Cricetulus griseus: one gene and its partners. The protein of the gene in region 1 interacts with the protein of each later gene in a pairwise test. Links are inferred from orthologs where the notes say so. Each region holds a gene or a part of one and is shown on either strand. Other genes may lie near its edges.

The links.
Region 2: the proteins of Golga2 (region 1) and Ndn interact in a two-hybrid assay, tested with the Homo sapiens proteins (2 studies listed by BioGRID and IntAct). The link is inferred for Cricetulus griseus from reciprocal best matches to the Homo sapiens genes GOLGA2 and NDN.
Region 3: the proteins of Golga2 (region 1) and coiled-coil-helix-coiled-coil-helix domain-containing protein 2 interact in binary tests that used the Homo sapiens proteins (3 or more experiments, as listed by UniProt). The two-hybrid records come from large-scale screens. The link is inferred for Cricetulus griseus from reciprocal best matches to the Homo sapiens genes GOLGA2 and CHCHD2.
Region 4: the proteins of Golga2 (region 1) and CUNH1orf35 interact in binary tests that used the Homo sapiens proteins (3 or more experiments, as listed by UniProt). The two-hybrid records come from large-scale screens. The link is inferred for Cricetulus griseus from reciprocal best matches to the Homo sapiens genes GOLGA2 and C1orf35.
Region 5: the proteins of Golga2 (region 1) and Scaf8 interact in binary tests that used the Homo sapiens proteins (3 or more experiments, as listed by UniProt). The two-hybrid records come from large-scale screens. The link is inferred for Cricetulus griseus from reciprocal best matches to the Homo sapiens genes GOLGA2 and SCAF8.
Region 6: the proteins of Golga2 (region 1) and NTF2-related export protein 2 interact in binary tests that used the Homo sapiens proteins (3 or more experiments, as listed by UniProt). The two-hybrid records come from large-scale screens. The link is inferred for Cricetulus griseus from reciprocal best matches to the Homo sapiens genes GOLGA2 and NXT2.
Region 7: the proteins of Golga2 (region 1) and Rab39a interact in binary tests that used the Homo sapiens proteins (3 or more experiments, as listed by UniProt). The two-hybrid records come from large-scale screens. The link is inferred for Cricetulus griseus from reciprocal best matches to the Homo sapiens genes GOLGA2 and RAB39A.

The regions. Positions count from the first base shown.
Region 1 is NC_048599.1:144,039,367-144,043,344, reverse strand, and holds the end of Golga2 (golgin subfamily A member 2), read right to left. Parts: intron 3,767-3,978; coding exon 3,521-3,766; intron 3,441-3,520; coding exon 3,365-3,440; intron 3,222-3,364; coding exon 3,079-3,221; intron 2,879-3,078; coding exon 2,678-2,878; intron 2,600-2,677; coding exon 2,497-2,599; intron 2,399-2,496; coding exon 2,292-2,398; intron 2,216-2,291; coding exon 2,059-2,215; intron 1,970-2,058; coding exon 1,755-1,969; 3' UTR 501-1,754; downstream 1-500. UniProt on the Homo sapiens protein: Peripheral membrane component of the cis-Golgi stack that acts as a membrane skeleton that maintains the structure of the Golgi apparatus, and as a vesicle thether that facilitates vesicle fusion to the Golgi membrane.
Region 2 is NC_048596.1:135,134,389-135,137,009, forward strand, and holds Ndn (necdin), read right to left. Parts: upstream 1,479-2,621; coding exon 501-1,478; downstream 1-500. UniProt on the Homo sapiens protein: Growth suppressor that facilitates the entry of the cell into cell cycle arrest.
Region 3 is NC_048597.1:109,162,794-109,167,070, forward strand, and holds the start of coiled-coil-helix-coiled-coil-helix domain-containing protein 2, read right to left. Parts: upstream 2,801-4,277; 5' UTR 2,690-2,800; coding exon 2,640-2,689; intron 1-2,639. UniProt on the Homo sapiens protein: Transcription factor. Binds to the oxygen responsive element of COX4I2 and activates its transcription under hypoxia conditions (4% oxygen), as well as normoxia conditions (20% oxygen).
Region 4 is NC_048600.1:73,266,675-73,270,904, reverse strand, and holds the start of CUNH1orf35 (multiple myeloma tumor-associated protein 2), read right to left. Parts: upstream 2,801-4,230; 5' UTR 1,302-2,800; coding exon 1,057-1,301; intron 918-1,056; coding exon 872-917; intron 775-871; coding exon 692-774; intron 617-691; coding exon 544-616; intron 438-543; coding exon 352-437; intron 1-351.
Region 5 is NC_048595.1:284,508,845-284,512,344, reverse strand, and holds part of Scaf8 (SR-related and CTD-associated factor 8), read right to left. Parts: intron 2,434-3,500; coding exon 2,289-2,433; intron 1,076-2,288; coding exon 1,007-1,075; intron 1-1,006. UniProt on the Homo sapiens protein: Anti-terminator protein required to prevent early mRNA termination during transcription. Together with SCAF4, acts by suppressing the use of early, alternative poly(A) sites, thereby preventing the accumulation of non-functional truncated proteins.
Region 6 is NC_048604.1:38,305,658-38,309,861, forward strand, and holds the start of NTF2-related export protein 2, read right to left. Parts: upstream 2,801-4,204; coding exon 2,712-2,800; intron 1,759-2,711; coding exon 1,674-1,758; intron 821-1,673; coding exon 734-820; intron 1-733. UniProt on the Homo sapiens protein: Regulator of protein export for NES-containing proteins. Also plays a role in mRNA nuclear export.
Region 7 is NC_048597.1:165,444,173-165,448,174, reverse strand, and holds the start of Rab39a (ras-related protein Rab-39A), read left to right. Parts: upstream 1-1,202; coding exon 1,203-1,429; intron 1,430-4,002. UniProt on the Homo sapiens protein: The small GTPases Rab are key regulators of intracellular membrane trafficking, from the formation of transport vesicles to their fusion with membranes.

The DNA of each region.
Region 1 (3,978 bases):
GGGGAGAGGGGAAGGTGTAAACACTGGGCGCTGAACACAGGGTGAGGAAGAGCCCTTTGCTAGGGTGCTATAAGGTGAATTTATCAGGGCCTCATCTTATGAACTGCTTCCACTCTTAGGGGGCAGGACCATGAACTCAGTCAGGTCCTGTGAGCTGAGGGGGCCTGCAGCCTGAAGGAGAACAAAACAGGCCCAATGTATGGATAGGCTAGGGGAAAGGGGCGACAGAATGGAAAAGGCTTGGCTTGGAAGTCAGCACCCTTAGGTATTCCACCTACATATAGGTCAGGCTTGACTGTGTAGCCCCATGGCACTCCTTCTGGGATCCCTCGGCTTCAGTATGCAGTATACAGATGATGGGTGCCAATCAGCCCTGCTAGGCACTTCAGACCTTGGGCTCCACACAGACCTGCTTTCTGCTGGCAGGACATATTCCCTGCTCAGTGCCAACCTGAGGCTAACCCCAGAATCCAGTGACAGAAACATCCTAGGCCCAGAAGTATGGCTAAATCCATTTATTTCCCAAGTAAAAAGCAAAATAAAGAGGAGCTGCATCAGCAGGATGCTACAACCCCATCTCCGCCTCCTGTCCTCTGTCCTACACTACCAATAAATAAGTTTCCCAGCCCCAAGTGATTATTAGAATCTCCTCCCCACTTGCCAGCTCCAACCTCTACTATAATACAGAGGGTGTCCCTACCCCAGAATATACAAAATGGTACACAGGTACAATATGTACACCAGGAGAGGGGAAACCCCCCCCCCCAAGAGCCTCTATCCTGCTTGGCATACAGTTACCCCAATTGTCATAAGGCCTGAGAGAATAGTACCCAATTTCCCTGTCCCAAAGTGCCTCTAAAAAGATGGAAGCCCTCCTAAGTGGGATGCTTTCCAGAGGCAGTTAGCCCAACTGCCTGGGAACCCATGGAAATGCTGCCCAGTCCCACTCCCTAAAGTGCCTTTAAGAAGATGGGAGTTGGTCTGGGAATGTGCTGGGCCCTGGGTTCCATCCCCAGTGTTCCCACACTTAAGAAAAAAGTAGGTAGTGCTGGGGTGTAAATCAATTGGTAGAGTGCCTGCTCAGCACTGCAAAACACCAGGCACAGTGATGAGCAGGAGAGTCACAAGGTCAGTGTGTAGTGAGCTCAGGGTTAGTCTGGGATATATGAGACACTATCAGAAAATAAAGAAAGGGGTGGGAAGGAGAAGGAGGGAAGGTAATGAAAGATGGTAAGACAAAGGAGCTCTCTTGCTGATTGCTAGGTTGCATCTACCAGCCTGTGCTGCACCTGGCCATGAAAATGCTGCCAAACTGTTCTGCCCCAGTGTCTTGAGTAAGGACTGTGGTCCTCCAACTAAAGAGAGCTTGGTCAGGAAGCCACCAGGCTACCCAGAGAGGCAGTCTGCTCAATCATTGACTTTAGAAAGTAAAATCGCCCTGGCCAAGAGGGCACAGGGCCTGTCCCTGTTTGTATATCACATTAATATAGGGAGTCTGATCTTTTTTTTTTTTTTTTCAGACAGGGGCTCAGTGTAGCCCAGGGTGGCTGATTCTCCTGCCTCCTCTTCCCAAGTGCTCGAATTCTCAGCACCCCCAGTTCAGAGGTACTGGGGTGGGACCCGGCAGACAAGCACTCTACCAACTGAGCTACTTCCTCAGCCCCTTGAGGGGGTGGAGTCTGACCTTATTATTATAAGGATAAGGGTGACTGAAGAGGGAGTGGGTTGGGGCAGAACCTTTGGCTGCCAGTCTTTTAGACAACCATAATTTTCACTTCGTCATTCTCATCAGCACGGTAGAAAAAGGGGATACAAGGATTGCTGCCCAGGCCTGGACGTTCCTGAGGGTTCTGGATCTCACGCAGTAGCTGCATGATCTGCTGTGCAGTGGGGTTCTCAGGGGGAGTGAGTGCCCCCGGCGCTCCTTGTGCAGGCTCTATACTGTCGGCCAGGCTCACCTCCCTAAGGTCTTTAGAGAAAGGGGAGGGGGGTGTCAGGGCTCTACATGCTATGGGAGTACTCCCCTTTGTGCCTGCCCAAGCCAAAGGCGCTACTCACCACCCTGCTGGTCAGCAGCTCCAAATCCCTGGGAGCCTGTGGGCACTGGGGTGGGCACATCAACAGGGTTCTGAGAGACTGCCAGGAATTTGCCCTGCCATTCATTGCGCTCATTCACAAGCCTCAACACCAGCTCCTGCAGCTCTAGCAGCTTTATCTGGAGGGAAAGGCAATCAAATTGAGTAGCCTAGCCTAGCCTAGCTGGGCCTAGACCACAGAAGTGTGGGGCTTACTTTCATTTCCTCCTTGTCCTGGGCTAGCCTGCTGATGTACTCCTCCTTCTCCAAATGCCTAGCCTTTAGCACTGCCCTCTGGTTTTGGTAGAGGGCAATGTACTCTCCTGTGGGTATGGGAGACAGGTAGACAAGGCTCAGACATTGAGGTTCTCCCAATCTGTCCCTGTGTACCTCAACTGCCTTAGGTTGGGTTCCGCCTCACCAATGGTGTCTGTCTCTCCAGAGAGCTGGATACAGCAATGTTCGAGTTCCTCTACCCTCTCCTTGAGCTCCACTTTCTCCTGCATGACCTCCAAGAAGCGGCTCTGGAGCCAAGACAGAGGTCTCAGAGACTTAGGAGCTCTGGCTGGCCCCACCCTCCCAGCTCTCAAAGACATACTGACCTGCAGCTTCTCCATGGCTACATGTAGGGCCTGGTTGCTCTCCTCAGACACAGAATCACTCACATTACTGGGGATCTTGCTTTGGACTGGGGTGGACAAGTGAGCCAAGCTTCGGCAACGTGCCTTCTGCTCTCTCAATTGTACACGTAGCCGGGTCTGCTCTTCCTCAGCACTGGCTATAGCTGTGTTAAAGAAAGCCACCTGCACACAAGGAAGAGGTGTACTTCTTAGGGAGATGTTTAGGATAAAAGGGGCAGGAAGGTAGAGAGGGAGCACTTATTCTCAGATGCAAGAGTGTCTGACCACTGGCTCCCAGGCAAATGTGATAAGAAATGAGAGGGCAAGAACTCAAGGGACCAGAGAGGCAGGGAAGAGAAGGGGCAGGGCAGAACCCAGCTCACCATGGCTTCTTTACTGTCTAGGTCTTCTGGGATGGTCAGACTAGGCCGAGGAGCCTCCTCCTCCTGCTCCTCCTGCTCCTCATCTCCTGGGGGCAGACAGTAGGTTGTCTCCTCTAACAGTCCCAACAGGTAGACAGAGTGGGCTAAGGGAAGACAGTTCAGGACCCCACCTCTGTACCCCAGCCACTGACTAGAGAATGCCAAGCATTCTCAAAGCTTCTCCAAAGACATCAACTCCGTTTTGTTACGAGTCAGTCAGGGTCTCCCCTCTCCTGTGTGGTCTTACCTTCTCCAGGGAGAGCCAAGAGGCTCAGCTGGGCCTGGAGTTGCTGGTTCTCCTGGCTGGTGGCTTCCAGGCGCTCCTAAGGGGCCAGGAAAGAGTGAGAAGGTACAGAGGTGGCAAGGTCCTCCTACTGGGGCCCAGCCTCAGCAACTGCCTCACCTGGGTCTTTTGCAACTCCTGGCGGGCCATTTCAGCTGCCATCTTGCTCTGTACTTCCTCATGCTGCAACTGGTCCATGAGCTGTGTCTGCAGCAGAAGCTGCTTGTGCACTGCCTCCTTCTCAGAGGTCAGCTGCTCATAGGCAGCCAAGTGCTGTTGGTAGGCAGCAGCATACTGCTGCAGGTGGGACAGGCACTGGTCTCGCTGCTCTTGCAGACTCTGTGCTTCTTGGCTCTTCAGCTCCACCTGCAGGAAGGCTAGGCCTGAGTGCAGGCAGTGGCTGGCTTCCACACCCTGGGCCCATGCCTTTATGTGCAGCCTCACACCTTTCTCACCTCTTTAGGCCCTAGGTATGGAAGAGCTGACGGAACCAATCTATATTGTTCTGCACAAACCACTAGTGCCCAATAGTCTATGGACATTTTCTCAGTTAATGTTCAACACTTGTATGAGGAAAC
Region 2 (2,621 bases), on another chromosome or scaffold:
ATACATGTTTGGTAGGGTGTGCTAAGTGCCTACACTGAGAACATTCCAGTTCAAATCAGTCCATTCCACAGGGATGCTTCCTGTGCCAGTTGAGTTCATATAAGAGGGCCCTTGACCTTTCTCTGGTCAGGCCTGCTTTGCTCACCTCCTAACTCTCCTGGGCTTTTATGTTGATACAGATCATCACTTTCATACAAAGAATAGATACACAACATCTCAATGGATTTCACAGGTTCAGCACAGCACATCTCTTGTACAAAAAAGCACAGAAGTGAAAGCATCCACTTGCTTACTTGTAAACGCACATGCATAAATCCTTAACACGCTCCAAGCGAACACAAATGAATATATTGCATTGAAAGGTACAAAAGCACTGTAAGGAAAACTTAAAGGTTACACATGAAATACTGCACTGTGAATGTGGAATACTCTAATGACCCAACCCCACCCTTATACAGCCCAAGTATGGGTCAGAAATTATCAACATGCTGGGGACCTTCCTAATCACCAGAGACACTGCTGCGGGGGCAGTGGGCAGCAAGATTAGCCTCCCGCAGAGCTCTGGCCTGCTCCAGAGCCTCTCGGTAGCGGGAGGGCCAAGCCTGGGGATCTTTCTTAAAGACCCTGGCCAGGAACTCCATAATCTGCATCTTGGTGATTTCACGGTTGGCTCTGGACCCCCAGAAGAACTCGTACTCAGGAGGATCGCTGTGGGGAACAAGCTGGTACTTCAGGTAATTCTGCTGGACGAACTCCTCGGTGATAATCTTCCTCACGTCTCCGAAGGTGGAGTGCTTCTTCCAGGGCCTCAGTCCCAGGATGTGCAGCACATTCCAGACGGCTCCCTCTCTGGCCCCGCGGCCCTTCACGTAGATGAGGCTCAGGATCATGAGCAGGAGGCCTGTCATGGGCATACGGTTGTTCAGCGCCACTCTGTCCAGTTCTGCTGGGCTGAGGGCTTTGACCAGGGCGAACTCCATCGTGTGGATATTGGTCAGCCTCAGGTGCAGCCCAAAAACTCTGGCAAGGATGAGGCTGGTGCGCCGGAGGATGCTTCTGCACCATTTCTTGTAGCTGCCCATGACATCTTTCACCATGTCTGGGAACCAGAGGACCATCCTCTTCTGGTCCTTGACCAACACGTACCACATGAGCTCGTGCGCCTTCTGCACCACCTGGGCCGGGGCGGGTGGTGTTGGCAGCTGACGGACCGGGCTATCGGGATTGTGGGCGCGGCCCTCCTCTATGGCCTGCTCCAGAATCTTAGGGTCAATATCTTCTAACCTTTCTGGAGGCGGCGGCGAGGCCTGCCGGGCTGCCATAGGGCCTTCAGGAGCTTCTGGTGCCTCTGCGACGATCGCGGCTGGAGATGTGGGAGGAGGGACCCCCACCGGAATCTCAGAGCTCTCCTGCACCTCGGAGTTGGCGGCATCAGGTGCAAAGTTAGGGTCGCTCAAGTCCTTACTTTGTTCCGACATGTCTGCGCCTTCTGATCAGAGCAGGACCGCTGCGACTTGGAGCTCTTGGAACCAGCACTCCCTCAGTGGACACCAGCAGAGGAAGTGCGCTTTACTGAGAGCTGTGCCTTCCGCAGCAGCGGCCGGGCGGGGCGGACTTGACACTGCGCATGCGTGTTGGCAAGCCAGAAGGGTGGTAGGGCTGGATAGGAGCTGAGATGCAAAGCCCAACCACTGGGGTCTGAGGGAGGGTACCACTAAACTAATGGGAAAGATCTCCAGGTCTCCTGGGTGAGCTAGAAAGAGATGGTGATGGGGAAGGAGCAAGTTTAAGTAGAAAGATGCAGCTGAGATGGTGAAGTCAAGTTAGAGCACCTTTGAGTTTTTGTGTGAAAGGGGGTAGACTGGCTAGAGAGCTTGGACTTTCTACAAAAGAGTGAGACAGTAATGAGTTTTTGATTTTTTTTTTTTTTTTTGGAAGTGCGAGCATTGTGAAGATAATGTGATGTTTAAGATTGGAATGTTGAAAAATTAATAGAGCAAATCTTTACCAAACCTGAGTCCAGATCCAATACGGAAGAATATAAAGTGTCATTACAGACACTGGAAATCAGCCCAAGTGGAATTTGAATGTTTTGGAAGTAATAAAATTATATAGCATAATTGGTGTGTGTTTAAACATTTTTTTATTGGGATGGGAATTGGCTCAGTCCATGGGTAAGAGCATTTGTAGTGCAAGTGTGAGAACCCTAGTTCAAATCCCTAAGACTCACAAAAAATGTAATGGCATAGTCTGTGTTTGTAAACCCTGCTCTGAGAGGTACAATTAGGAGAATTACAGGCATTTGCCAGAAACCAGCCCAAGTTTAGGTTCAGTGAGAGATCCTGTCTCAAAGGAATAGGGTAGAGAACAATAGAGCAGGATACACAACACCCTTCTCATAAATTTGCATACACTTACACAATATACACATATAATTGACACAAATAAGAGTTTGTCTTTATACACAAGCACAATATGCAGTAAGCAAACTTGCATAATTAACACATATATCACTTTAACCTTTAGGGATATTTAAAATTCCTTTTTCTATCTCCTTAAACATGTATAGCTGAGTACACCCACTGCACTTTGTTATAGTACACTACAGAATATTGTTCCTA
Region 3 (4,277 bases), on another chromosome or scaffold:
GTTTTCATGTATCCACATGGCCCACAGTATCTTTAAAGAACAGTTATTCCAATACTCCATAAAATCATCAGCTATTGAGCTGGAGAGATGGCTCAGAGGCTAAGAGCACTGGTTGCTCTTCCAGGGGTCCTGAGTTCAATTCCCAACAACCACATGGTGGCTTGCAACCATCTATAATGAGATCTGGTGCCCTCTTCTGGCCTGTAAGCAGACATGCAGGCAGAACACTGTATACATAAGTAAATAATTAAAAAAAAAAATCTTATCGTACTCTTCTGCCGTGCAGGCATACATGCAGGCAGATCACTGTATACTAAGTAAATAAAATCAGCTATTAAGTTGAAAAGGTAGAGAAATGCTCAACAGTAAAGACTGCATACTGCTCTTAGCCCATGGTGAATCTCAGCTCCAGGCCACCTGACACCTCTGGCCTCCCAAGGCTCACAAACCCACCTCTCAAAAAATGGTAACAACAACAAAAACAAACAAAAAGATTGGGAACTCAACCAGGTATGGTGGCACACGCCTTTAATTCCAACACTCCAGAGGCAGAGGCTGGCAGATTTCTGAGTTTTAGGCCATCTTGGTCTACAAAGTGAGTTCCAGGACAGCAAGGGCTACATAGAGAAACTCTATTGCGGGTGAGGGGATATGATTAGAGCTTGGGGAGTTCATGCTTGGGGAGCTCACTGGTGAAAGGTGTTTGCTGCCAAGCCTGAAAACCTGAGTTAGAATCCTGGAATCCACAAGGATGTTTACTTCCCACAAACTGCCCTCTGACCTTCACACAGGTATACAGACATAAAACAATTTAGAGCTTGGATTAGCAGAGCATTTTCTGGGCAGGCATGGGACTCTGGGTTGACTAAACTAGAAAGAAAATATACAGAAGGCATTGGCTTGGCAAAATATACCTGTAGTCCCAGCTATTCAGTGTGTGTGTGTGTGGGGGGGCAAGATCATTTAGCACATGGCTTTGGGACCAGCTTGCACAATGTAACGATAAAAAAGTCAACAAAATCCAAAAAACAGTCATGAGGTAATGCTCAGAATGTACACCAAGACCTTCACTTTACCAATCACAAAAGGTTAAGGCAGCTGGGTATGGTGTGGTGGCCCACTCCCTTTAATCCCAACATTCAGGGGGCAGGAGCAGGTGAATGGATCTGAGTTCCAGGACAGCCAGGGTCACAGTGAAGCCCTGTATTAAAGAAACAAAACAAAGCACCAATCCAAACCAAAAAGAAAAACTTAGGGACAATGACCTGTCTGAACTGCAACTTTTTTAGCTCTTGTAGACTGGTCTCGAACTCAGAAATCCACCTGCCTCTACCTCCCGAGTGCTGGGATTAAAGGCATGCACCACCAACGCTCGGCTCTGAACTGCAACTTTTACTAATCTTATTTCTCGTTTAGTTTTTCCGAGCCTGGGTCTCTCTATAGATAGCACCACTGCTATCTTGAACTGGTGCCTACCCTTGCCTTTAGGGAGACAGGAGCATGGAGAGCTATCTTGGGGATAGATGGGGCATCTCTTACCATATACAGTCCTCAGCCTCCCTCCCATTACAGAAACAATCTTTAACTTTCTACAATTATATTCCCCAAAACGAAACATCTGGGGTTTTTTTGTCTAGTTTTGTTTTCCGAGACAGGGTTTCTCTGTGTAGCTTTGGAGACTATCCTGGCACTTGATCTGTAGATCAGGCTGGCCTCGAACTCAGAGACCTGCCTGCGTCTGCCTCCCGAGTGCTGGGATTAAAGGCGTGCACACCAATACTTGACCAAAAAGAAACATCTGTATTCCAGGCGCTGTCAACAATTTCTACTTATCTACCCACTTCCTGTGGGCCGAGGAGATCTCTCAATAATGTTTGCAACTAAGTGTTAAGATATTCTGGACCAAAGTGGTGGAAGGAAAGGGCCTATACACAGGTATTTAATTTTCTTGTAGACACCTTTAAAGCCTGTAATCCCAGCCGTAGGGAAGCGGAGTCAGGAAAATCAAGGCAGACTAGCAAGGCCTATCAAGTTCAAGGTTAGCCGGAGGACCTCACACACACAGTAAAAGAAAACCACCCCAGGCAGGCAGTGGTGGCGTACGCCTTTAGTTCCAGCATTCGGAAGCCAGAGGCGGCTGGATCTCTGAGTTTGAGGCCAGCCTGGTCTACAGAGCGAGTTCCAGGACAGCCAGGCCTGCCTACACAGAGAAACACTGTCTCGAAAAAAGAGAGAGAGAGAGAGAGAGAGAGAGAGAGAGACGAGAGAGAGAGAGAGAGAGAGAGAGAGAGAGAGAGAGAGAGAGAGAGGAGAGAGGAGAGAGAGAGAGAGAGGAGAAACAAAATTAATAAGAAAACCACCTCTAGACCTCCACATAAATCATTCTTCCTCCGCCTCTTCGTAGACTATGTCCTCTAAGGCCCTTCCCCCCAAGCAGTGGAGGAGAAAGTTCACGCTTTAGCGTCCTCTGCCGTAGCGCACCGAGGGTGTCCCTGTTCCCGGGGAGCCCTCTTCCCCAGGAGCGGGTCCCTTCCTCATTGCTCGCCCTGTCTCACCACCCGCCGCCTTCGCAGCTCTCTGGCTACGCAACGTCACCCTGGCCGCCCGCTCTCAGTCCCCAACCCCGAGGAGGGTCTCACCTGGCCGGAGGGGCCACCCGGGAAGAGCGGCTTCGGCTTCCACGCGGCATCCTGGGTGATCAGACAAGCAGAGTCCAAAGACGAGAAACTGCGAAACACCCACGAGCGTCCAGCAACTTCTACCAAGGAGAACGGAAGGCGGGAGGCGGGTTCTCAAAGGGCAGCCAATCAGCGCTCAAGAGAGCACGAGCGCTGAAGGTCATTGGGAGATGAAGACATCCGTAACGGCGAACGCCCTGGTGCCGCGCCCTACGCCGGGAAGTCTAGAGCTTGGCGACCAGGCCCCGTAGCTAGCCGGAAGTTCATGGGGTTGCGCTCTCAAATCTTGTCCCCCGATTCTGTGCTTCATTGCTAGGTTTTTGCTTCCAAGGGACGACCTGCTTCCCCAACAACTCATGCTTGATTTTAAGATCCACCTGCCTCCGCCTCTCAAGTAAACTGGATTGGGGGATTACAGGCATATGCCGCCATGATTACTGAGTTAACAAGGTTAAATGCAACCTTGACTGAGTCATCTCTGCCTTGTCTACCAGAGGGCCTTGGGCTGTTTTTTTAACCCTTCTCAGATTGTTTTGTTTTGCGACAAGGTTTCACATAACGGGTGTTGGCCCGAACTCGCTGTTCTCACGACTCAGTTTCCTAGTGCTGGCGCTGCAGGAGAAACTCATACTAAAATTGATGTTGTAAAGGATTTACTAATAAACTTGCTTAGAAATATTAAGTTAAACAAAGTAGAATTTAGCCCGGCGTTGGCGGATCTCTATGAGTTCGAGACCAGCATGGTCTCCAGAGCGAGTTTCCAGGACAGTCTCCAAACCTACAGAGAAACCCTGTCTCGAAAAACCAAACCAAACCAAAACCAAAACAAAGTAGAATTTAGCTAAAGGAGCGCTGCCTCCGGTATAACTGGAAGACAGTGTACTAACCAGGCTTATTAGAAACTGTGGGGAAGGGGTTGGAGAGATGGCTGCTCTTCCATAGAAGCCGGGTTCAATTCCCAGAACCCACATGGCAGCTCACAACTTGTCTGTAATCCTAGTTCCAGGGGACCCGACACCCAGGGCAAATCATCAATGTGTACAAAATAAAAATGAATAAACTTAAAACAAAGAGAAAGAAACTGTGGTGAAGAAAATTCTGTACCTTCATTGAAGTTTCAGGTGGCCAAGAAAGTTTCTGATAATGTTTAGTCAACAAGGTTGACCTCCAATTAGGTGCCATTCCCATAATAAAAGGAGGCCACCCTGGCTCAAAACTAGCTGTGAGATCCATTCCCATATCTAAGAACATGACTTTAAAGAAATGGTTCTTGGGGCTGGAGAGATGGCTCCGAGGTTAAGAGCACTTACTGCTCTTCCAGAGGTCCCGAGTTCAATTCCCAGCAACATGGTTGCTGGCTCACAACCATCTGGTGATCTGGTGCCCTCTTCTGGTGTGCAGATACACATGGAAGCAGAATGTTGTATACATAATAAATAAATAAAATCTTAAAAAAAAAACAAAAAGAAATGGTTCTCTCTCTCTGTCCTACTCTGTTCTTCCATTTCTCGGTCTCCCGTCGTAATAAACTCTATGATTAATATACTCTTTATGCTCTCCATGGTTCATGTTCCATAGAGTGTGCTTTTAATCAGAAAT
Region 4 (4,230 bases), on another chromosome or scaffold:
CTTCCTGTTTGCAACCATCACCCTTGCTGGCCCTCAATGGCAGCTACAGAGACACTCCCTCTTTCAGGCATCTGGATGGGCAGGCACATCCAGCCTGGAGGTGGAGGCCCAACAACTTCAGTAAAGCCAAAAGAACTAAGGGCAGTGCTTGGTTCCATCAAAAAAAAAAAAAAAAAAAAAAAAAAAAGACCTGGCACTTAACCTCCCAGTATACCTGTGGGTCTGGACACCCAGTATCTCCTGTGAATACACTCTTAGTGCAGTGTGCACAACTCACATAGGATGCCAGCAAGAGACTCAAAAGCGCACACACAGAGTAGGTAGAATAAGTATTCAGACTCCTCAACTTACTCCAGTTCGGCCTTGTCCTCAGCACGAGGCTTCTTCCTGGCAGCAGATGGGGTGGTGCTTGGGCCTTCGCTGTCCACGCGGTGGTGCTATATAGAAGCGCAGCTGTAGGGAGGGACACCCAGGGAGTCCCGCCCCACGTCTCCCCAGACATCCCCAAGCCCAGGATCCTGAGCATTTGGGCCGACAGTTTACCGTGAACACTGACAGCCCAAGCTTGGCAGCCTCTTTGTCTTCCCGGGATAGTGCCACACGGCCTGCGGAACCACTGCAAAAGACAGAACATTGAGGACAGTTCTGGACCACCGCCCAGTCCTGCCCCCTTCTACCCAACCCGCCGCACCTGGCGCTGCCCAGGCCCAGCAGCCGGTCCACGCCTTTGTCCTCAGGATCGCCTCCTTCCCGTTTGCAGATCTCTACGAAGTCCTGAGGAAGCGGGGAGTGGGGGTGGGGAGAGGTTCTAGGCCGGTACAGATAGAGCCCCGCCAGCCCTGAGGACCCTGAACCCGCACCCCAGACTCACCTCTTTGCTCAGGCCGGTGGGCTGTTTTCTCACGTTCTTGTAACCTCTGCGAGGGTCGAGGGTACACGTCAAGGGGCATGAGCCCGTAGCCTTCCTCCCCTGCCCAGCCTACATCTAGCCCCGCCCCGGGGCCACCCAGATCCCATCCCCGGAGCTCGCAGTCGCCCCGCAGCCCAGAAACTCACAGTGCGGCCAGCAGCGCCTCGCGTTCCGCCTCGCGCACAGCCGCCAGCTCTTCCTCACGGCTCGGGCCGGCACACGGCGCGCGGTCCTTCGCGTACCAGGTGAGGTCGCGGCCCTTCTGCCAGCGGCCCACTGGCGCCATCAGCGAGTTGCCTAGGTAGTTCTCCCTCTGCTTGTCGGTCTTCACATCCTCCCAATTGAACTGGTCCTGTCCGCCACGCACGCCGCCGCGACTGGAGCCGAACATGGCGACGGAGCCGCTCGCTGCACAATCTCCAGTACCCGCAGCCCGAGCGTCAGATTCCCGCAGCACTCGGCCGCCGGACGCTCGCCGTGACGTCACTTGTGCGCCTGCGCGTCTCACTAAGGTGTCCGCGCGCCTGCGCTCTGCATGGCTCGGGCAACCTCAGCCTCGAGAGCCCTCTTTCCACCCGGTGTTCAAGTAGTAACTCATTCACAGGCGCATCTTCATCCCATTTCCACGTGCGCCTGCGCACTAGCTCCTCGAAGAAACGGCTGCTGATCTCAGTGTCATGCGGTGGATTGGAATGCCAACAAACCTTGGTGACACCAGGAGGGGCCAGGGCCGGACAAAAGCCAGGCGTGCTAACTCAAAAGGAGTGGGGGTCCCAGGTCAGAGCTGAGATGAAGTAAATCCCTGGGACCATGAGTGGCGATTAAAGCCCCCAAAGAAACGCAGATCAACTCTTCTGTGTACTGGATGACACATTGTGTCACGAAAGTGAGATAAAGGCCACAAAGCACAAGCTTCCCTAAACCAGAGCGATCTGTGTTTTCTGCAGGTGACTTTACTGATGAAGTACGAAGAACAGAGCTAACTGCATTTGTTCTGATGGGGCATGACCAAGAATAACGAGTAACTAAGCTTCTTTGAATACAGGTTTAGTACTGTCATTTGGTTCTGGAAGAATCATTAGTTTTACCTGGCAGCCAATGAACGATCAAGTCGATGTCTGGACTAAAGCTTAAATGAGTGCAATTTTTCTGCATTATAGTCTTAGCCTTAACTGCCTGTAATAGACTGTGTGGCAACCCACACCCCTATTATCATTTTTAAAACATCCACTAGGGTTATATTTGAAGGCTGGGCCTTTGAGGTAATGAAGCAGAGCCTCACAGATTAGTGCCCCTACGAAGGGAACCCTGGAGAACTCACTTACATTCAGTCTCTAATATAAAATGAGATGTTAGCTGTCTAGAACCCAGAACAGATCTGTTGTCCCAACTCTATAGTGCTGGCATCCAGACTGTTTTGGGGAGTGGTGAGGATATAATGAATTTGACATGAACATGGGAACATCCCATGTTAATATTTCTCAAAAAGGGAATTTGGAATGTAAACAAATGTGGGAAGGAACACAAGAACGCCTGGGACCTTCTTCAGCTTCTACAGAATAGGGTGATGTTCCTATACCTCGACTGTTTTTCTGAAGACAGACATTGTTATGATTTACATAACCTTGAGCATGCTGGCCTGTGAAGCAGGCTCCCCTGCAGAACTGTAAATCTGTAGCTCTTGTTTTCAAAGGAGGTGAAAAATAAAAAAAACAAGCCTTGTCATGCAGATTGAACTCAAGTGCTGGGCTGCCTTAAGCCCCCTGGTTTCCAGTTCTCCCAGAATTAATCAGGAGAGGCAACTTGGCCAACCTCTCTCAGTTTGTGTTTGAGATAGAGTTTTACCATGTACCCCTGGCTGGCCTCACAGAAATCCATCTGCCTCTACCTCCCAAGTGCTTCGATTAAAAGTATATGTGAGCTGGGCGTTGGTGGCAGATGCCTTTAATCCCAGCAATCGGGAGGCAGAGGCAGGTGGATCTCTGAGTTCGAGACAAGCCTGGTCTACAAGAGCTAGTTCCAGGACAGCCTTCAAAGCCACAGAGAAACCCTGTCTTGAAAAACCAAAAAAAGAACGTATGTGAACTACTACACCTCACCCTAGTATTTCTTTAGGGACCTATCTTGAGAGCAGCTGGATCACTCCCTTGTGAGAACTCCTCTGCCACTGCTTTTGGGGAAACTTCACATATTCTTTTTTTTTTTTTTTTTTTTTTTTAAGATTTTATTTATTTATTATGTATACAGTCTTCTGCCTGCATGCCAGCAGAGGGCACCAGATCTCATTCAAGGTGGTTGTGAGCCACCATGTGGTTGCTGGGAATTGAAATCAGGACCTCTGGAAGAACAGTCAGTGCTCTTAACAGCTGAGCCATCTCTCCAGCCCCTGAAACTTCACATATTCTATAAGATAAAACATGCATAAAATCTGCAACTGTGAGAACAAATTACTATTTATAAAGTACCCATGACTGGTGAGATGGCTGGGTGGGTATGGGCTCTTGCTGTCATGCCTGCTGAAACAAGTTTAATCCCCAGGACCCACATGGTGGAGAGAACCAACTTACACAATTTATCATTTAATCACCCACATGCCATAGGGTGTATGCCACTCTGCTAATTAAAGTACCCAGTCTGAACTGGGCCTGGTGACAAGAGTCTGTAATCCTAGGTCCCCAAGAGGCTAAAGCAGGAAGGTTGGTTGGAAGTTCAAGAGCTGCCTAGGCTTACAAAGAGATCTGAAAGCTAGTCTGGGCAACTTAGCAAGGCCCTGCCTCAACATAAGAAAGAGAAACAGAGCCACATCTTAATGATAGAGAGGTCTCAAGTTCCATCCCTAGTTTGAAAAATTATCCAACCTGGTGCTCTCTGTCATCCCAAACAGACCAAGACAACCCCATTTTTGTTCATGTCTTCATTCTGAACACATGCTGAGAACCTGCCAACAGCTTGTGAGGCACCTAGTACAAGCCCTGAGTTCATATCCTGGCTTTGGAGGACACAGCTGGAACTAGATCCCTCAGAACAAGATCACACTAGGTGGTGGTAGCACACGCCTTTAATCCCAGCACTCGGAAGGCAGAGGCAGGCGAAGCTCTGTGAGTTCGAGACCAGCCTGGTCTACAAGAGCTAGTTGCAGGACAGCCTCCAAAGCCACAGAGAAACCCTGTCTCAAAATAAAAACAAACAAAAAGAACAAGATCACACTAGGGATGGATGTATTACATGGATGGACCCAAGGGGAGCTGCACAGTTAAGGGAGCAGCAGTCATGTGGGCCACAGTAAAAAAGGAGCAAACCAGCCATCTCCCAGGAAAGAT
Region 5 (3,500 bases), on another chromosome or scaffold:
CTCCCTGCATTCCAGTCATATCCACTCTGCACTGTGCATGCTTTCAACTGGGAAAGGTATGGTATCTAGCCTGACTCTCCTGTGCACCACAGGGGAAAGGTATGGTATCTACCCCGACTCTCCTGTGCACTGCGCCTCAAGGTAACTAAGTACCATAAACTGGTAAAGGTTTTCTTTACATTTGAAAAAAAATCCTAACAAAGGAATTACTATTTAGAAAGACAACCAATTTGCAATTAACGGCAGATTTAACCCACAATAATCAATAAACAAAAACTATCATTAAAAACCAAACAGGTAAACATTTTCAACAGCCGAGTTGCAATACCCAAATACCCTCAATCTTAACACTGTTAAATATGTATGAAAATACCAAGGGTAAACAAACCCTAATACAAAGTATGCATACGAATAATAATGAACATATAAATTCATCTTCTCTAAGTCTCATTCTTGGGGAATGATGATAAGACAAGTTGTGCAGACGTGGGGACAGGGCACACAAGTAATTTCTATACTTCCTGCTGCGTGCCACAATTCTCAGACTGCCATGAAAACTAATGTCTGTTTTGTTCATAATATGAACTAAAAGACACTAGTATGACATAATCGTTTTGCTTGCATTCCTATGAGAAAAAGGTGATTCAGAATCTAAGCAAATCTTTGGTGCTAACTTCCACCTTACAGGGATCTTGTACCCAGAGGAGTGACTTGGTAGTCATCAAGACTATGAAGCGGAAAGGAGAACTGGGCAGCATGGCTCTAGATGAGACATTTACAATAAAACAACAAAACAACACAGCAATGATGGGAATCTTGACCAAAGGAAGTAGATTATGGAAATACATTTTGGGACAACGGAGGAAAAACAAATAACTTCTGAGATACTATTAATTTTCAGAATTCTCTACCATGCATTTGTTGGAAAACTAACATTTTACAGGAATGAGCACAAACACACTAAGTCTCTCTCAAGGATAAAACAGACTTTATATCAGTAACTCACATGTTGGTACTACTGGTGGAATTGCAGGGGGAGGTACCACAGGTGGGGGAACCGGAGGTGGCATAAAACCTACATGGGAGGAAAAAAGACCAAAATAAAACAGCATATGTTTAAATCAAAGGGCTCAAGATTTGTGAATGAACTTCCACATTTTCTTATTGTTTTACCATGGGGTCCTTACTCTGCTACTCAGCTGGTGTGGAGCCTGTGAGCTAAGTCATTCTATTTTAACCTCCTGAGGAATGGGGATGTTTTGGAATGTTATTTTAACTATGTAAAGATGTGTTACATTTGTTTATAATGAGAAATATTACTTTAACTATATAAAGGTGTGTTACATTTGTTTATTCTGTATTTGCTTAACAATGTAGAGATGTGTTGATCTGCCTGCCTAAGGTACCTGATTGGTCTAACAAAAAGCTGAACAGCCAATAACTAGGCAGTAGAGGGCAGAGCTGGTGCCCAGAGAGAATAAGTAGGAGGAAGAATCAATGCACAGGAGAGAACTAGAAGAGAGGAGGAAGAGAAGGAGATACCCTGGGCCAGCCAGCCAGGCACCCACGAGCCAGTCAGATATGGAATAGGACATACAGAATCAGAGGAAGGTAAGAAGCCCTAAGGCAAAATATAGATGAAGAGAAGCAGGTTAAGTTATAAGAGCTAGAGGGACAAGCATAAGCTAAGGCCAAGCATTCATAACTTCTGTAATACGTGATTCCTATAAGCCAGATAAATCAGTGATCCTGATCATAGCATTCCATTTACTCACACTCACTCACTCACTCACTCACTCACTCAAAGTCTTGTAAAATGCTCTGCATCGCAGATCAGTGTAATAAGCTAGAATCAACCTATTGTTGGAATGCTGACCACAGGGAGAGTGCTAAATCTATCTCAAGCTACCTACCGGTCACAGTAGATAAAATAATGCTATCCACCTGTCAACCATTTCATTTATTTGACACAGTACACTCTTTACTGCTAGGTTAAAACATTTTGGTAACTTTAGATGATATGATGTGTTCTTGAATAAATCTTAAACTATAATGGCATGTTTATGATTCTACAGACCACATGACCAAATTATATAAATCTGCTTCTTTGCAATTTTTACAGGTAGAGTCACTATTAAATTAGAAAACAGTGAGTCAAAAGAAAAGCAGATGAAAGCTGTGACTCAATGGATCAAAAGTCTGGAGAATGTACCCTGCTCTATGGCACTGAGACCGAGAACACCAACCATATTCTAAGCAGTTAAAACAGGAAGACATAAACTCCTTACCAGGAGGTGGTTGTGAAGGGTTAAAACTTGCTCGTAGAAAAGGAGGTGGAGGGATTGGGCTGAATCCAGGAGGGGGAACCGGCATTGACACAGGAAACGCTGGTGGAACTAAACTAACTGCAGGAACTGCTGGCGCTACTGGAATCTTTTGTAGGTAGAAAAACATCCATTAGCCAATTTATCCACCTGAAGTGCTTACTACATTTTGGCATAATAACACAAAATTACAGCTTTTAAAATGGAAAGAAATAAATGTCATTACATTTTAAGTTTTTCTCTTTTCGTATACTTTTAAGTGAATCTACCCAGGGTTAAAGCAGCCAGTATGAGTCAATAGTTAATTCACCTGGAGATTGTAAGGTATCTCTTACATTCAAATGAACTAGTAAAACCTAAGATAAGCACTAAAACTCAGGCTAGTACTCATGAGTACCTGCCCACCAGGCTGCCTCTGCGAAGCTCAAATAGCAGCTTTCAAAGAGCACCAAATTCTCCAAACTTTCTTTTCAAATTTTAACACAAATATCTTTGATTCATCATAGTTACAAAAAGCCCCAAACTTCCCTCTGGCATGGCTTTATCTCTTTCCTGAACCTCAACCAAGTCTGCTCAGCATTTCAACGTCATTGCCTAAAGAGTACTGTAAAGGTCACATGCAGAGAAAATGAATTCCCAATTTTTATTCCCAAGAGACCGCTCCTCGCATTATTTTCTAGTCTTAGAAAATGGTAGCTCCTATATGACTAATTTCTTGGACCAAATATCTTCCTCCCCTTTTTTCACAACTCCAAATCCAATAGTCTAGTAAGCCCCACCAGTTGTACCTTCCAAGTCATCTACCATCTGCTACTTCTCTTTACTTTTGTTAGTCTTCTTAATCACAATCACTTCTCACCTATATTGACTGTTGAGTTTTCACTCCATGTCTTCTTTTATAAATGTTCAATGTGGCCTACTCACTATAAACATTATCCACTGCAATCCTTTACAAGTCATTTCCCTGAACATCTCCTCCAGTGGTTGCCTTCATTCAGAATGAAGACGAATTTCTTTGAGAGCTGAGCTTACAGGCATGACTTGCAGAGGCAAGGAGCACCATGAAATATCCTGGCAAATGACCTTCAGTGTAGACTTCTGCTTGTAATGCTCTTGCTCAGATTCTGGAACAGCTCATGTCTTCACCACCTAGTTGTTCAACTAGGTGCACCCCCT
Region 6 (4,204 bases), on another chromosome or scaffold:
AGAGGCAGAGAATACACCCAGCTGACCTTCCTCCTCAGCCAATACCCCAGAAGCCTCCCCTAACTCCTATGCCTTCTCAAACAACATGCCTCAAAAGGAATGTCCCTCCCTTCTATTTCCTGTGTGTCTCTCTATCCATCTTCCTGACTCCCTCTTACTCTACATGTTTTTTTCTTGATAATCCTATGTTTACTTCCTGTCAACTGGTTGGTTGCTCTGCCTCTTGACCTATGGTTGACCTTATTTAATCCTGTTTACAATATGCAAGCAGAAAACAATTGGGTTAAAGGTATATGCTAAGCCTGAGCCACACCACAGCTAGAAACAGGTTTTTCCAATAAATAATGCAATCTTGGGGTTCACAATGTGATCAGATATCCTATGTTATATTTTTATTATTTAAAATAATTTTTAAATTTAAATATATTTTTGATCATATTCTTCCTTTCTCCCAGATTCTTTCCCTAGCTTCTCAAGTAGCAGTTTTCTCAAAAAAAATCAACCAAGCAAAAAAAATAATACAACAAAAAACCCCAATACCAAAAAACCAAAATACCCCAAAAGAAAAATGAAAACAAAATACCAAACTATAAACAAGTATAAACAAACTGTAAACCAGTATAAACAGGTCTTAAAGAATGTGTATACAGCAATTACTTATGTAGGTCAGATAAATGGTATTTAAACAAATGAATGGTATTAAACAAAGAACAAGGGAGACTATAAAACTTACATGTCTTCTTTTGTCCATTGTCTCATAGTAAATATTGACAAATTCCTCAGCAGCTCTACATGCCTGATCCACATGAGTTTTAAAATCCTATGAGCAAATTTTCACAATGGTAAATCATAATCCTGCAAGCTCAAAATAGGCACTATAAAGCTATATGCAAAATCAGCTATCATATAAATTTGAGTATTTTAAAGATCAAGGCATAAATGTTTTCAGCTTTAAAAGCAAACTGTAGCTAGTTTTTAGATCCACGTCTTTAGAACATATTTATCTCCCCTTTTTTCACTCTTCACATATAACTCTGGAATCTTTGCTTGGCAATTAAGTAAAAAAAAATTCAGTATTTTACAAAACATTCACCTACCACAGGAATAGTAACTCGAGAGTGGGTGATGGGTGTGGGTGGAGACAAGGTGTTGGTGGACAGTCACTGAGTAAGTGCTAAGTTTCAACTTATGACCAAGCTTGGAAGTTATTTTCTTTTTTTTAAGTATGACTTGAAAGTCTAAGCAGTCCCACTTAGAAATTTTTCTTACATTATATAAACATTCATGGGCATTTGTAAATGAATTGCAAAAACCAAGAAATGAAAGGCCTCAGAGTTCTCACAAGATCCCCAATTAAATAACTTTGTTTGCCCTTCACTTTTACTGAGAAAGTCCTATTCCTTGAATTAAAAATAATTGCCATTTGTGAGTGATCAGGAGATTCTGATTTTTAAAGCGCCAACAGAAAGGTTGATACTGTAAGCCAAAGATGACTTAGCCTCCATCCTCCTTCCTGCATCTTTTCTAGGAAGAGGAGGGGAGCAAGTCCCGCCCCAGGGGCTGGCGGGCCAGATGCTGATTCGCCAGTTGCTCACATGTCCAAGCTCCTGCCTCCCATCCCTTTTGCTGCACATGTCCTAGTTCCTCAACACTCAATGGTGTCACACACTCACCACAGCCATGGCCATTGGAGAACTTGAAATGGCATGCTCCTTCAGGGCAGGTGTCAGTACCTCCTCACGTGTCTGGCTCTTTTGGCTGCAGAAGGAGGAAATGTTTACAAAGAAAACGAGACCCGCCAAAGACACAGATTTTTAAACCCGCCCATTATATCCTAGTGTTAAAACCCCCTCAAAGTTCCAATTTTAAGTGGCCAATCCTTTCAGTTGCAACTGGTTCCATCCATCTGTTTAAATTACTTCCAAACTGTTTACTTTGCATAAAAGAGAGAAACAAACAAAAAACCAACCAAAAATAAACTAACAAAACAGCACAACACAAATAAAACAACCCCAGCCCAGCTCCCCGCCCTGGTACAAGTTAAAATCAAAAGTTGCAATTACAGGACAGCTTTATCCCATGAGGCGGGCCCAAAGCTTGAGGGCCAATGAGAAACGGAAAAACCTAGGTCAGTAGCCAATAGGAAAAGGGGGCAGGACTTGAGAACCCGCTCAGAAAAACCGCTTGCTGCACGAGGGGTTTAAAAGAATTTAAAATGTAAAGTTCGGGAATATTCTCCATTTTGACCCTCTGCTACTAACGCCTTGTTTGGATAACTAAAAATTTTCCTGTGCTTAACAATCATTTTACTAATTCCCTTCACACCGAAGGGATTAAATGTCAAGCACCACCCCGCCCCCCAAAAAACAAACCCCACCCAAACCAAAACCCAATATTCTGTGGTGTATGGTTTCTACAGCTTATTCAGAACAACCTGACCAGGGACCGTTAGTAGTGACCATAAGCACTTTTCTAAGTAATTTTATCCATTTTCAATTATTTATGGCAACTATGAGTTAAATACTATTTTATCATCACATTATTAAAACAATCAGTGATTAAACCGTGTCTAGATAAGATTTAAGCTCAAGTAATGATAAATGCCATGGCAAACTGGTTTCAGTAGCCCGGCGCCCTTTCTTAAAACAGTTAATCCCAAAGTGGCCACGTCAGACATCTAAAATTTGAATCAAATATTTCTTTGAACTTACTATCTGTAGCTTGTGTGTGGCTCGCGAGAGGAATAGCCAGACCTTCCATAGTGTTTGTCCCCACGGGACCAGTCACTATATTTTTTCATTCTCAGCGAGCGTTCACAAAGGTACCCACAGGAACCGCTTTCTTCTCCAACTGCGCGCCACTCAGCTTCAGTTCCTTCCGGTTTGCCCACTATGATGCTGACTGCCTTGACTCATTACTTCCGGGGCAGCTACTACCACGTGACTCTCTATGGCTCTTTATATGGTAATGAACTACAGTTTTGTAACTTTGGTTCTACCTCTATGGAGCTCAAATTGTACATGTGGAATCTTTCTAATAGTGAAAATGGGAATGTTCTGCCATGTTTCTCAGACTCTCAAGTCCAAAATTTAAACTGATTTTTTTTTCAGTTTATTTCTAATCTATATTTTCTTAGTGATGCATGAATCTGCATTATTTATTGATTGAGTTTTGGTTCTCTTCTTATTGTTCATTCCTTCAACAAATATTTATCATCATTTACTGTGCTCCAGGCATTGTGCAAAGCTCTTGCTACCAAGCAGTGTCAAGAGCGGCAAACAAGTAACTACTGATACATTTTAAAGGAATTCCAAGTAATGAATTCTGAGTAGCTAGTTTCGGCCAATCTCTAAAACATTTTCTACCTTATCTTTCTGTGTCTCTGCCTTTCTAACCCCTCTGCCTTTTTCCTTCTCTCCTCCTTTCTCTTCCCCTCACTTTTACCTCTTCTAAGGTTAGTCAGTGTATCCTCACCCCCACAATTACCCTAATATTTAAAGCCTACTTTGATGTGATTTTATTTTTCCTAGAGTATTCTCTCAAATTTAAAAAAGACTAGTAAGCCACATTTTTCCACAAAATGACTCCTGTTCATTGTTATATCGCTATTGGCTTTTCTTGAATGAGGAAAGGTATTTTTATATGATTTCATTCAATCCTTACAAATCAGACATAGATATTAATATGACCCATATTTTTAAGAATTTGAGATGAAACTCAAAGAGCAAAACAAACAAAAAAATAACCTTTGCTAATATGATGCAGCTCTGGACTGGAGAAGTAGCTCAGTGATTAAGAATACTTGTTCAGAATACTGGGTTCAGTTCCTAGCACCCATGTTAGTCAGCTTGCAACTGTCTGTAATTCTAGTTCCAGGAGATCAGACATCTTCTTCTGACTTTTTTGGCACCTGTGTGTGGTACGTCTTCATACATTCAGGCACACTCACATGCACAGAAATTTTAAGACGAGATGACACAGCTATTGAACCCAGAATTTCAGTCCCAAATTGTCTAATCAACACGTTGTGCTATTTATTCATTTACTTGTATATTACTATGTCTTCTTTCTTTTTGATTTGTTTACTTCTTTTTCTTTTTGATTTGTTTACTCCATTTCTATCTGTCCTTCAGGTATCAGGGCAAGTTTTATCATTTTTGTGAAGTTTCCCTCATTTCATTTTTCTAGAAACATATAGGATGCC
Region 7 (4,002 bases), on another chromosome or scaffold:
AAAGCTGTTGAACTTTGATTTGACCTTTAAAAGCTAAATCGGCCTATAACTCGGTCATCATGCGCCCACGTGCTGGCATTATAGCTGTGGGCCACCACACTGGTTTATATGGAGCTGGGGGCTGGACCCAGGGTTTCATGTTGCTAAACAACTGTATCAACTGAGCAAGAAGAGAACTTTTGAATTAGCTATCATCAAACCTGAGGGAAGGGATAAGAACATAATAAGATCTCACCAAAAGTTAAGTTCTGTTTCATTTAGTAGATTGGCCATACGCAAGCGGAGAGCAGCTTTGGGCAGAGGATAATGATGACTTGTATGAGCGTCTCAACATTTCACCTTTTTCCCGGGCTGGAGAGCCCCACGAGCATAGGACTAGAACCGGACGTTTCTCTTACTTGTCTAATCCTGAAAACGCTGTGGCAAAAAGCAACAGGCAGTCCTAAACAGAAACAACCAGAACCAGGTCTGCAAATTTGTTTCCTTCAGCAGAGAGTCGCTAACTGAGGTCTTCCGAAAACCAGGACACCACGAATCCACACACAGAAACACCTTAGCGCCTTGCCTACTTCCGAGATCAGAGTCCTATTATGAGGGGCCCACCGAGATGCGTGAGAGAAAATGACTCTCACTTCCCATTGGCTGAACTTTCTGGCGTTTAGATCTCCAATACATTTTCGTTGGTTACTATTGCTGTCACCTCCTTTCGCCACACCCACTTCCTGGGCCGCTTCCAGCAAGAGCTGGACTAGAGTGCCTTACAGTAGTCTGGCGGTCTCCCATTTCCCCACATCCTAGGCGGAGGCTCTCGCCACGCTCCCCTCGTCCGAGAGCCCCCAGCCCCGTAGGCTCGAGGACCGGTCCCCAGAACGTCAGTTCCCTCCCCTTATGGTTGGGGCCCCACCCTCAGCCCGAGACAACGCCTCTGCAAGTTAGATCCCCTCCTCCAGCTCTTGAAAACACTTCTACCTGCCGTCCCGCCCTAACTTGTGGCCCCGCCCTTATCCTCAAGCCCCACCCCAGGCAGAACAGGTCCCCGCCCCCTGCCCGCGGTCCCGCCCCTCCCTACCCAGAGGGCGGCGACCAGGCGGCGGCCGCCGCCGCAGGAAGATGCTGGAAGCCAGCGGGCGCGCACCGCGGAGGTGCTGAAGGGACAGTTCCCGTGGCAGAACTTGCCCCTGAACGCGCGGGGCACATAGGCCATGGAGACTATCTGGATCTACCAGTTCCGCCTCATCGTGATCGGGGACTCTACGGTGGGCAAGTCGTGCCTCCTGCACCGCTTCACCCAGGGCCGCTTCCCAGGGCTGCGCTCCCCTGCCTGCGACCCCACGGTTGGAGTCGACTTCTTCTCGCGCCTGCTGGAGATTGAGCCTGGCAAGAGGATCAAGCTGCAGCTCTGGGACACCGCAGGGCAGGAGCGCTTCAGGTAGGGAGGCACCAGCTACGAGCTCTCGAAAGTGCTAGCGCTCAGTGTTCGCTTCCCCTTCGCCCCTCCCCTTCCAGGGGCTACTTCCTCCTCCGCAGTTTCTTCTTTCTTTAGCGCGGATTCCTGCCCCTTTCCCTTTCTGTTTCCTTCCCTGTCCGAACCAGGGTCGCCTAGTCTTCCCCAGCTCTATCTGCTCCTCTAGGCATTTGGGTCCCTTTAGGTCCACCGCTGCCTTCTCCCGAAACTCGACTTCGCACACACGCCCTTATTCAACGACCTTCCTCCTAGCTTCCCCTCTTCAGCCTTGACCAAGCCTCTTTCGGGCCAGGAGAAACGCCTAGTGGGGTTCCCTGGTCTGTGATAAATCTTTAGTTCTCAGCAAGCAGAAGTCCAGCCGGGGTTGTGGCCTGGGCTCCCTCGGTACGGTTCACAGAGAGATGCATGCGGTAATTGGTTTGAACATCTGACAGCACCAAGTGTGGTCATCAGAAAATACTGGGTCATGACCCTTGGGAGTAGGTTCTGGAAAACAACTAAATGCAGATTCGGAGTCACCGACACAACTGTGTGTGTGTGTGTGTGTGTGTGTGTGTGTGTGTGTGTGTGTGTGTTTGTAGGGTGAAGTTGCCTTTAAAAGTTTGTCATCTTTGGTGTTTTGATGTAAAAAAGATAATATTGAGGTTTGTCTGCAACTTTCCCTTTATTTCATTGATCGGTACTTAACGTTCCGGCATGATAACAAGAGAAAATACTTTTCTAAATGGAGAAAGAGGGTCTCAAGTAAATAGTCTCATTCTAAATGTCCACTGAGGAACCTGAAAGATTGTACAAAGAGGACTGACGTTACAGGAACTGAATTCCTTGGATATTTGAGATCATATCGCATTTAAAGGGTATTTACAGTTTCTGGGATGGAAGAGTGCTTTATTTTACAGCGAGGTAAGGAAATTGGTAATGTACTCTTTCGTTTCTTGAAAATCACCCGATCAACTGAACTCCTGTAGGCAAGCATTTTCACATCTCTCAGTAAGTACTCTGCTTGTGAAATAAAGAACTCCATTAAGGAACTTCCCAAACATGGCTTCCCCTACTCCCAACCAGCATCCATTCCGGATGAGTGCAGCCTACATCTGTAGAAAGTCCAACACTGAAAATTTTGGCTTCCATTCCTGGGTCTGACACTAATTCACAGAGATAATAAGGGAACTGCCTTGCTTGCTTGTATATTAGTTTTCTTACTTTTGTGTGGTAAGCCTAGCTTTCACAGGTGTTAAAGGTTTTTTATTTTGTTTAGGATTCCATGAAGACATTTGTGTTCCCTTTTCAATCAGCCTCCTCTGATTGAAACAGTTTGTAAAACTTGCTATGCCTCATCTGTAAAATGAAGATATCCCCATGATTTCTAAGATTCTTTCCGGTTCAACCACTCTTTTGAGGTGGGCTACAGCGTCTTCCATTTGTGATCTTACTCAGGGTTGAAATTTGAGATATTTCAAGGGGGGGGGCATTTACCGGGAGTGCTTGCTCTGCCCTAAAGGTAGTAAAATCTTCCACGACTATTTACTTAAAAGTAATTCCTCAACCTATTGACAGGAAAATAAAGGATCATTAATCTGTTAGAATGCAAAGACCTTTGCTAGTTGACAGTTTTGTAATGCCTTTGAGAAGAATATAAATAGCAATTCATTTTATATATACATTATTAAAACCACCCAGTAACTGCCCCCATAATAATGCAAGGACAGTTGGAGAATGTTTACAATGAGTCATACTTTGTTTTGCTTGGCTCTTTACCAATGATATATTCGTAAATACATATTTCAGTAGCTACCTACAATACTTGCCTTTCTAGCATTTAGCAAAATACTTCACCATAAAACTGCATTCAACAGAATTATGATTAAATCATCTCACATCTTCTAGAAATGCAGATATTTATTTTGAATCATGGATCTCCTGGCATGTTTTCTTACATTCAAGGGTATTTGGACCTATATGCCTGTCATTGCAATCAGCCCCTGAGGAATTTGTGGGAACTATTTTATTAGAAGATTTATTGGTCATTAGTCATAAAGCAAAAGAGGAGCTTACTTTAGAGAGCTCATGATGTAGTTTGAAAGCATAAACAAATATATTACAGAATAATGAAATGTCCAGCTGGTAATTATCATAACTAGTTTTCCTTTCAGTATTTAAGTTAACATTCTAGTGGATTTTAACCACTTGAAAAACAAAATGGGACAAGATCAGCTGAGTATGATGACACTTGCCTATCTCTCCAAGGTTGAAGCAGGAGGATCTTGTGTAGCCAACACAGACTACACAACCAGACTTGTCTCAAAGGGGAACAACACTGGGCATGGTAATACAAGCCTTTAATCCCAGTATTTGGGAAGGAGAGGTAAACAAGTCTCTGAGTTCTAGCCAACCAAGTTGTGGGCCAACCAAGTGCTACACAGTGAGACCCTGTATAAAAAAATAAAATAATAAAATCAGGGGTATTGATTTGGTTTATACATTACTTAGGATTCCTAGTAAAGGCCACTGTGTGTCTAGGAAGTAGGGAAAGGGAG